3 linked regions of the Yarrowia lipolytica genome follow. The protein of the gene in region 3 interacts with the protein of the main gene of each other region in a biochemical or structural test. Links are inferred from orthologs where the notes say so. Each region holds a gene or a part of one and is shown on either strand. Other genes may lie near its edges.

Region 1 (2,201 bases), on a different chromosome or scaffold from region 3:
GGTACGCGTGCTGACAAGGGATCGTGTCTGTGGAGTGATGTGGCGTGAGGGGAGTTCGGGAAAGATAGTGGGCCATACAAGAGGGTGGTAGTACCGTGATAACGTAGTGTATGGTGGAACTTGGGCTGTTCATAGGGGGTGTTTAATAAACATTGTACGCTACTGTACCTGTAAGTACTGCACCGACCCGCGCACTAACCCGACACAAGAAATGTGCCTCATTGGCCTTGGGCTTATCAGTGAGTGATGTGGCCTATGCATGAGCGAATGGGTTGTGTGGCATAGATGTTTTGACGCTGACTGCTACGTAGCACGTAGTATAGAGGACGGCGTCAGTTTGCGGAATGTAAACGGAATGTGTGCGTGTTTGAATAGTAATAATATCCGGTCCAGTTGCCCCACGCGACAGTTTTCCCCTGTTGGCCTATTATGTCCTTTATGCCCTTGAAGTACAGTTTCCAGCTCCCCTGGGACGATTCGATTAGGGGACTTAGTTTTGGCAACGTCAGTGGGAGGGGAGAGGTGGGGCACTCGTAAGTCACAGACGGCAATAGGCGGTGGAAATATACAGAGTATTCGATGGTAGAGAAACGACTTTCTCAGACGAGAAGATTTCACAAGCCCTCGTATTCCGCGCCCCCTGGCTCACGATACACCACAGAAGCGCTCCGTGGCACACCTTTGTGCATAAAAAAGCATAGGCTTCTGTAAGCAGCCTTCTCGTTTGACACCCAAATCCGAAACCCTGTCGCACAGCACAACTCACCACCTCACATATCACACTCCACACATACACACCCACACAACACACCCACATTCTCACACTCTCACGCCCCCACCACGCTCCTTGAACAAGCTCCCGCCCTAGCCCGTGCACAGACCCTCAAAAAGATAAAATGCAGACCATAAAATGTGTTGTTGTCGGCGATGGTGCCGTCGGAAAGGTGAGTATAAAGACAAAACGCCAATTATCAAGGTTCTCGTGCTCCGCCACGATCACGATGTCGTTCTGGACGATGGATTAATGGCCCTGGAGAGCTCCTACTAACGCAGACTTGTCTCCTCATCTCATACACAACAAACAAGTTCCCCTCTGAATACGTTCCCACCGTTTTTGACAACTATGCCGTGACTGTCATGTGAGTATAACGCGTCGCATTCTGCAAGAAACCAAGCCCCCCCCCCCCCCCCCCCAAGCAACGAATCGAGATACTAACCCCAGGATTGGAGACGAGCCCTACACACTCGGACTGTTTGACACCGCCGGTCAGGAGGATTACGACCGACTGCGACCTCTTTGTTACCCTCAGACCGATGTTTTCCTCGTCTGCTTTTCCGTCACCTCTCCCGCCTCCTTTGAGAACGTCAAGGAGAAGTGGTTCCCTGAGGTCCACCACCACTGCCCCGGCGTGCCTTGCCTCATTGTTGGTACCCAGGTTGATCTGCGAAGTGACAGGATGATTCTTGACAAGCTTTCCCGACACAAGCTGCGACCCATGACCACTGAGCAAGGCTACCAGCTCGCCCGAGAACTCGGTGCCGTCAAGTACGTCGAGTGTTCTGCCCTTACTCAGAAGGGTCTCAAGGACGTTTTCGACGAGGCCATCGTGGCAGCTCTTGAGCCTCCAGTGGTCAAGAAGAACAAAAAGTGCATTGTGCTCTAGTTTTTGCATGCTAATGGGTTAACACAACGAAAAATGAATCAAAGCAAGAAAAAAATGTTTCAAGATATGTTTATTGTAGTAGAACTGGGCTTGGATTGTGTCTACAGGGCCTCCGTGAGGGAACCTCAAAACAAAGCATCACTATGCGTTTCAAGCCTCGAGATGCCACCTGATGTCTGTAGTTACCCCATTTTTGACATATATATTATTGAATATCCAAAGGTAGAACCTGACGCGTGCTTGTAGTGCTGCAGTGGTGTATTATTTCCCCTGTTGGGTCATCATTACACGATAAGTACAAGTACGGATAGCTTCCGCCTCTACAATTAAAAGACACGCCCCACCCTTATTAAGCCAGCACATCGCTCAGGCAGATGTTTGAGTCCCGAACTCTATCCTAAGAAATCCATCGAAAAATAGTGGGTGTGCGTACAATACCCTAATATCTACCTTGGTGCAGAAAATCTAATCAGAACCTACCAGAACTACACATCTACACTCACGACATTGACGTTGTACTACGACCCTTACAACTAT
Region 2 (2,458 bases), on a different chromosome or scaffold from region 3:
TCAAGCGCTCCTAACAACACAGTGTCTATGTGTGGTTAGGACGAAGCCAGCAAGACAGGAGAAGAAGGGGAATGCAAGGAGCGCACCACTGCCAGTGGACGTTACATTCTTAGCGAGTGGGAGACGTGAGGCTGTCGGTTCAGACCGCAGAATGAAACAACTCGCCTTGTACAAGTATCGAACTCGCTACTGGCAGAGTGTCTCGCACCGCGCTTGTATGTGGTGGTGTGGTCTTGGGTTGCCCTGATTTTCATGATTGTCAACAGTGTTTTGACAATTGAGTTTCCAGCGGGGTCTACTTGTATCGGGCTGAATAATCATCTACACGCGCGCAACTATAGCTGTTATGCTAGACACGAGGCTGGTACAGCGCTCGGTTTGTTTATGTCCCGTGTCCACAATATTGCACAGCTTCTATGCCACTTGTACCCCTTATGTGGCTATACTAGTACAGCACGTGCCCCGAGCCTAAAGAGGTCGCGTTTCGCGTCTTGACACAAAAGTACATATGGCACTTTTCGGCGGAATATTTGTGTCAGAGCGAAATAATAAACGGGTCTATTTTTGGTTCTTCGCCAAGTGGGCCCAGTGAGGTATAGCAGCCAGGCAGGGCATATACGGCTTGAATAACGAGACAAGTAGGGGGCCAAATGAAAGGGCTTAAGGGCCACTTGCCATCAGCCGGACTACTGTACCGAGCAACGTCTGCGGAATGCGTCGTATACGCCTTAAAGCAGAGGGCGCAAAACGCCTAAAGACAACCCACAACTGTCTCACCCGCCTGTTTGAAAGAGGACATAAAAACAAAACAAAAAGCACAGAGACAACAAACAGAGTTTTGGGACTATGCTTTAGTGTTGGTGTATATGAGTTGGAATGAGTGGCGGGCAGCGTCTGATATTTGAGATTCCTGTAGGACGAGAAACAAATAAAAGATGGGAAAAAGTAGCCATAATGAAGTCAAGCATTTTTATGTAATTTTTCCACCCCTATCCCTATCACAACGATGTTCATGGACATCCGCCCAGAACTTGATGACAAACCCAAATTTCACACGTGAACTTAATGTCTAACAAGCGTAGCTACCAAAACATGACTTATACCTGAGCCCTCCTACGCTTCTCACCACCACAAAAAAATACACAGCATGAGAGACTACAAAATCGTCGTTCTGGGCGCCGGTGGCGTCGGAAAGTCTGCCATTACCGTCCAGTACGTGCAGGACATTTTCATCGAGTCCTACGACCCTACCATTGAGGATTCCTACTGCAAAAAGGTGAATCTGGATGGCCGGCACTGCACCATGGAGATTCTCGACACCGCTGGAGTCGAGCAATTCACCGCCATGCGAGAGCTGTACATCCGAAACGGTGAGGGCTTCGTTCTGGTCTACTCAGTCAACTCGGAGTCGTCTTTGCGAGAGCTGCAGGAGCTGCGACAACAGGTGTGTCGGATCAAGGACAACAACAACGTGCCCATGGTGCTGGTGGGCAACAAGTGCGATCTGGAAAACGAGCGACAGGTGCAGCCTCGGGACGGAGTGGCGCTGGCCAACCAATGGGGCAAGGTTCCCTTCTACGAGACGTCGGCCAAGTTCAAGACCAACATTGACCAGGTGTTCCAGGACCTTCTGCGACAGATCATTCGTCGAGACTCGTCGTTTGGCGGCTCAACCGTTTCCTTGGCTGGTACAAGCGGAATGGGCGTGAGCAGCCCTACCCACAGCCCCACGTCCTCTACTGGAGCAGACTATCTGAACATGCCTTACGACGATAGAGCGTCGAAGCACGTGAGTGTCAAGAGTACGAGTTCGGCAGCGTCTATCCGAAACATCTCGACGAGTTTCAAAGGGCATCAGAGGAAGAATTCGGAGGTGAAGAAGAAGAAGAAGAAGGGGTGTGTTATCATGTAAGTTGCACAGTCTAGCTACTTGTTCACAATCAGTTGTGCGGCCTATCAGCCACACATACCTATTTAAGAGTTGATCTCACTGCATGGAGTAGCACAATACTCCCACGTTCGTTAATATATGCATTTTTTTTCTGCCAATATCCTCGCATACTACTTGTACGAGTACGGGTACCCTTGTAGTCTCGTCCTTTTCAACATCTGGCACCTTAATATCTTGTTGTGTTGTGATTTCTAATGAGTATCTTCCAAAATCGTACACATACTTCCACATTCCAGGTGAATGAATCAGCCTTTCCATGGTGAGACAAGTGGGAGGTTGTCACTCTGAACTCATTCGGACTCTCATTCTCTTTAATTGAGCTAAACCCTGGTAAACCAATAATGTCTCTCCTCGCCTATTGCTATGGAGACGGACTGGACGCTCCTTGATACATGGTGCAGTTGTACATGCGAGAAGGAGATGTCGTGTTCTCGTGCGCTGTAGCCCAGATATTAGAATATTTAGTGGGGTGATTGAGGTGTGACCGACATTATAGTATGTACTGGT
Region 3 (3,765 bases):
TTGTTCAAGATGCGTGCTCTTATGCGACCCAAATATTCAACTGCTCCAAATTTTTCTGTTCCAAAGCCATGGCGATATCCTCATCCGAATGGATGGTCACCATGTCTCCGTCTTCGTCCTGGTACTTGATTCGCAGAGGGGCAGGTACCACCTTTCCACACAGTCGCACCTTTCGCTCCACCCGCTCAATCAGCTGATCGTAGGTGACCTTGGCAGGCACAATGAGCGTGAATACGTCCTGGAAATACTGTACGCGTACCTTAATGTTTGAGGGACGCATGGAGCCATCATCAAAGCCAGGAGTAGAAGCAGATCTAGCCCGGCTCATGCCTCCTCCATTACTGCTCGCAATGGACACCGAGCTGTGATTCATGCCGTTAGCCCCGTGCATGCCGTTGATAGAGGTGGTGGAGTGCTGTCGGGGGCCCAGCTTGGGCACTGGGCCTGAAAGAGACCGATTTCCAAGCGTCAGTCGGTCCAGGTCCTCAGACAGATGCGAGCTCTGCTGGGAGTTTCGGCTGCTGATTGGAGACTCCACAAGAGGTGAAAAGTGAGACTCATACGAGTCCTGGTTGTACCAGTCGTGCAGCTGTTTGATGGTAGCATCCCATTGTCGCAGTTGCTCTTCGTGTCGGAACCGCATGGTCATAGAGCCATAGCCGTCTCCTTTGTACGTAAGCGTCAAAGAGTATCCGTTTTCTGTACTAGATATCATGTTGGTCACGTTGGCGATGTAGATTCGGCCCTTGAGAGAAAGAACTGTCTTTTGTGGCTTCTTTGAGGGCAAACTCATTGTCTTACCCTTTTTATCACGTGTCTCTTTGCAACACAGGATGATGGCCTCGAACAAATACACCAGGTACTCATATTCACCGGACTCCTTTGCAATCGTAAGGTGGTCCATGTAGAGCAGGTCTCCAAAATCTTCAAGGTTGTAGCTCTTCCAGCTATCTATTCGCTCGCACAGGTCTTGAATGATAGCCACGTTCTCCACCCTTCGCTGTGTCTCGTTGACACTGTTGGTAACCCGCTTGATGGCCTCCAAACCGTCTAGCAGCTCTGACGCGTAAGGATGGTCGCTGCTGCTCACTTTTACCAGCTCTCGTAGCAGTAATGGGTACTTGCAGATTCGTTGAATGGGCTTGATGAGGAAGGCCTGGAGCTCGTAGGTAGGCTCGATGATGTGGGCGAGGGCGGTGAGTTTGGGGGCCTCCTGAACAGCCAGATCGGAGGACGCCTTTTGGTTCAGCGCGTAGGGCTCGTAGATGTGAAAGCCAGCCTCCATGTTGAGGAAAAGTGCGCCAAAGCGCTGCTCTTCGACCGGCAGAGAGCACACATGTTCAATACCGACCAGTACTCTTCTCTGGAAGTCGACCAGTGCAGATACGTTCAGAAACATGAGATGTATAGTGTCTGGGTTTAGGATTTCAGCTTCCAGGAGACGGTTTTGGTAGTCGTGCAGTATTTCGAGATCCTGGACGTACTTTCGCTCTGTCTGTAGCAGCTCTTGAACCACGTTGTATCGCGCGTCTCGGGTGGCGGGTGCGGTTATGGGTGCAGTTTTCGGAGGCAGCAGGTGTCTGGCCTCCAGCGTCTCCACCACCATGCTGACCGTACGCATCACTTTGATAAGATCGCCCGTGTTTTCGGAAAAGAGGTTGGAGATGGTGAAGAGCTCGTCGTCCGAGTAGCCCAGCTCGGCCTTGCAGCCCTGCACAAAGTCGTAGACCGACCGTTTGCATGTTCGCACGTCGATGGACGCGCGGTTAGCGGCGGCGTGGGGGTCCACTGTGAGTGGAGTTCGAGGTTGCAGCATGTTGAACAAGATGCACAGGGGGGCTCCTAGTCGGAACAAAGACCAGAGCTGGGTAACGGGGTCCAGGGGGATGGAGGGGGGTAGGTGGGTGATGGGCACGATGGACGACATTTCCGAGTCTTCCAGGAAGGGCCGCACTTGCTCAATGTCGTGGAACCGGTCCCGCATGGTCTTGCACATATTGTAGAGCGACTTTTCCGAGTCGGCCTGTCTGTTCATGACGAGGTTTGCCACCGGCATGGGAGCCACCGAGGTGGGGGCTGTTGACTGCACCGACGACATGGACATGGTGGGCGTCATGGATCGCAAACGCGGCGTGGAGGGGTATGTGGAGTTCTGTGTGGACGGCGACAAGGTGGACAGAGACGGGGTGGATTGCGACGAGCTTTTGCGTTGCTGGGGGGTCTTCGTGTATGGCGACGACGGTAGCAGGTTGTTGATCTCCTGGTGCAGCATCTGCTGGTGAGCCAGGTTGTCATTTGGCGGAGACAGTCTTCGAGAGGATCCGTTCATGGTGACCGACGGGAGCAAGGGGGGACCGTGGTAGTGGACGGTGCGTGGTTTTGAAATGGATGTGCGTGGGAGGGTGCGAGGCGTGTGGTCACGTGGGCGGGCGATGCGACTAGTCCCGTGGCGATGATGGAAGCGTGCCTGCTTTTGTGTCGTGTGTGTGCTGTGTCGTTCAAACTCACGTCGTCACGTCCTCTCAGGTAGTGTCAACAAGTGCGGTGGGCCTTTACAATAGCAAGACACCGAACCTTATGGGGATACGAGTGAGGGGGGGGGAGAGGACTGGGGGGTTGGTAATAAGTGGCCCGATAAAACAACCTGAGATAGAGAGTTTAGTGGCGGACCCTGAGCCCTAAACCAAACCACAAGACAACCACCACCCCCTTATATATAATATATATTTATATATAATATATACTTCGATAAATTAACAAGCGGAACACAGTTCGCACAGGAACCCGACTTTTGCGGCCGTGGTGTTTTGGCCTCGTATCCGCTCCTTGTCGTTTCCCAACATTGTTCGGACTCCTTGTTTTAGTTGGGAGATGCGCAGCCCCTGGATGTTAGTCAGCCGAGCCTATTTGGGCCGCGGAACGTCAATTCTGGCCGCGGACACGGCGTGAGATGACCATCAAAAGGTCTCCTCCGTGATAAAGAGCCCGGATTTCCCATCTCTCTGGTGAATTTTTCTACTCTGTGACCCCACGATCTGGCCCCACGATCTGACCTCTCGATCTATCGAGTTGTCGGGCTTTGAAAATCTTTAAAAAAACCTTTAAAAAGATTTGGGAGGACGAGTGTGAGGGTAGAGCACGAGACATGTTGTATAGTACACACGAGAAGCACAAGTACAGTACTTGTAGGTATAAGACTTGTAGAGAACAAGTACAAGTACAGTACAATATAATACAATACAATACAATACAATACAATTACAATAAAAAACAGGTACCTTCACTGTAGCCTCTTCTACCCCATTGCAATATCCAAACAAGAAGTGGTCCGATGACTCGCATTCGTGGTTTTTTTCGTCGCCAAAGTCCATTCATTGTACAAACGAAGAAGCCTTTTTACCACGTGGCAACGAAATTGCGAGACCCTGAATGTGTTTTTACAGCACGAGACCTCGTGTTGCTGTAGGCCGGTTCTATTTATAGACCATAATTCCATCCACATCTCTTTCTCTCTCTTCTCTCTCTCTCTCTCCCTCTCTCTCTCTCCCACAGTTATGTGAACAACGCACCTGTGCAGACAGACTCCGAAGTGCTCAGTGGAATTAGCCGCCGAGACGCGCTGAATACGCTCTTATTAGTCCTTTGCTTTCTTTGGGCCTCTTTTGTCTCACCGAGCGTCCCCAGAATGTTTTATACACCGCGCCAACTCGTCCAACAACCTATTTTGTTTTACCACTCTTGTATGTTGTTAATTAGAGCGGCGCA

What was found.
Region 1: the proteins of YALI1_C20646g (region 3) and YALI1_B20717g form a complex in vitro, tested with the Saccharomyces cerevisiae proteins (3 studies listed by BioGRID, with this or other methods). The link is inferred for Yarrowia lipolytica from reciprocal best matches to the Saccharomyces cerevisiae genes CDC24 and CDC42.
Region 2: the proteins of YALI1_C20646g (region 3) and YALI1_F30395g form a complex in vitro, tested with the Saccharomyces cerevisiae proteins (2 studies listed by BioGRID). The link is inferred for Yarrowia lipolytica from reciprocal best matches to the Saccharomyces cerevisiae genes CDC24 and RSR1.

The regions. Positions count from the first base shown.
Region 1 is NC_090771.1:2,070,809-2,073,009, forward strand, and holds YALI1_B20717g (uncharacterized protein), read left to right. Parts: upstream 1-896; coding exon 897-944; intron 945-1,053; coding exon 1,054-1,139; intron 1,140-1,222; coding exon 1,223-1,664; downstream 1,665-2,201. Other genes in the region: YALI1_B20709g (uncharacterized protein), read right to left, coding at 1-119, 164-261; YALI1_B20730g (uncharacterized protein), read left to right, coding at 2,200-2,201. UniProt on the Saccharomyces cerevisiae protein: Involved in development of cell polarity during the cell division cycle, and essential for bud emergence. Affects signaling in the pheromone-response pathway through the STE20 protein kinase.
Region 2 is NC_090775.1:3,038,234-3,040,691, reverse strand, and holds YALI1_F30395g (uncharacterized protein), read left to right. Parts: upstream 1-1,147; coding exon 1,148-1,912; downstream 1,913-2,458. UniProt on the Saccharomyces cerevisiae protein: Ras-related protein which binds GDP/GTP and possesses intrinsic GTPase activity. Involved in development of cell polarity during the cell division cycle, and essential for bud emergence.
Region 3 is NC_090772.1:2,062,306-2,066,070, forward strand, and holds YALI1_C20646g (uncharacterized protein), read right to left. Parts: upstream 2,330-3,765; coding exon 20-2,329; downstream 1-19. UniProt on the Saccharomyces cerevisiae protein: Promotes the exchange of CDC42-bound GDP by GTP. Controls the polarity of calmodulin, and the calcium regulatory process of bud emergence. CDC24 may be involved in the initial selection and organization of the budding site.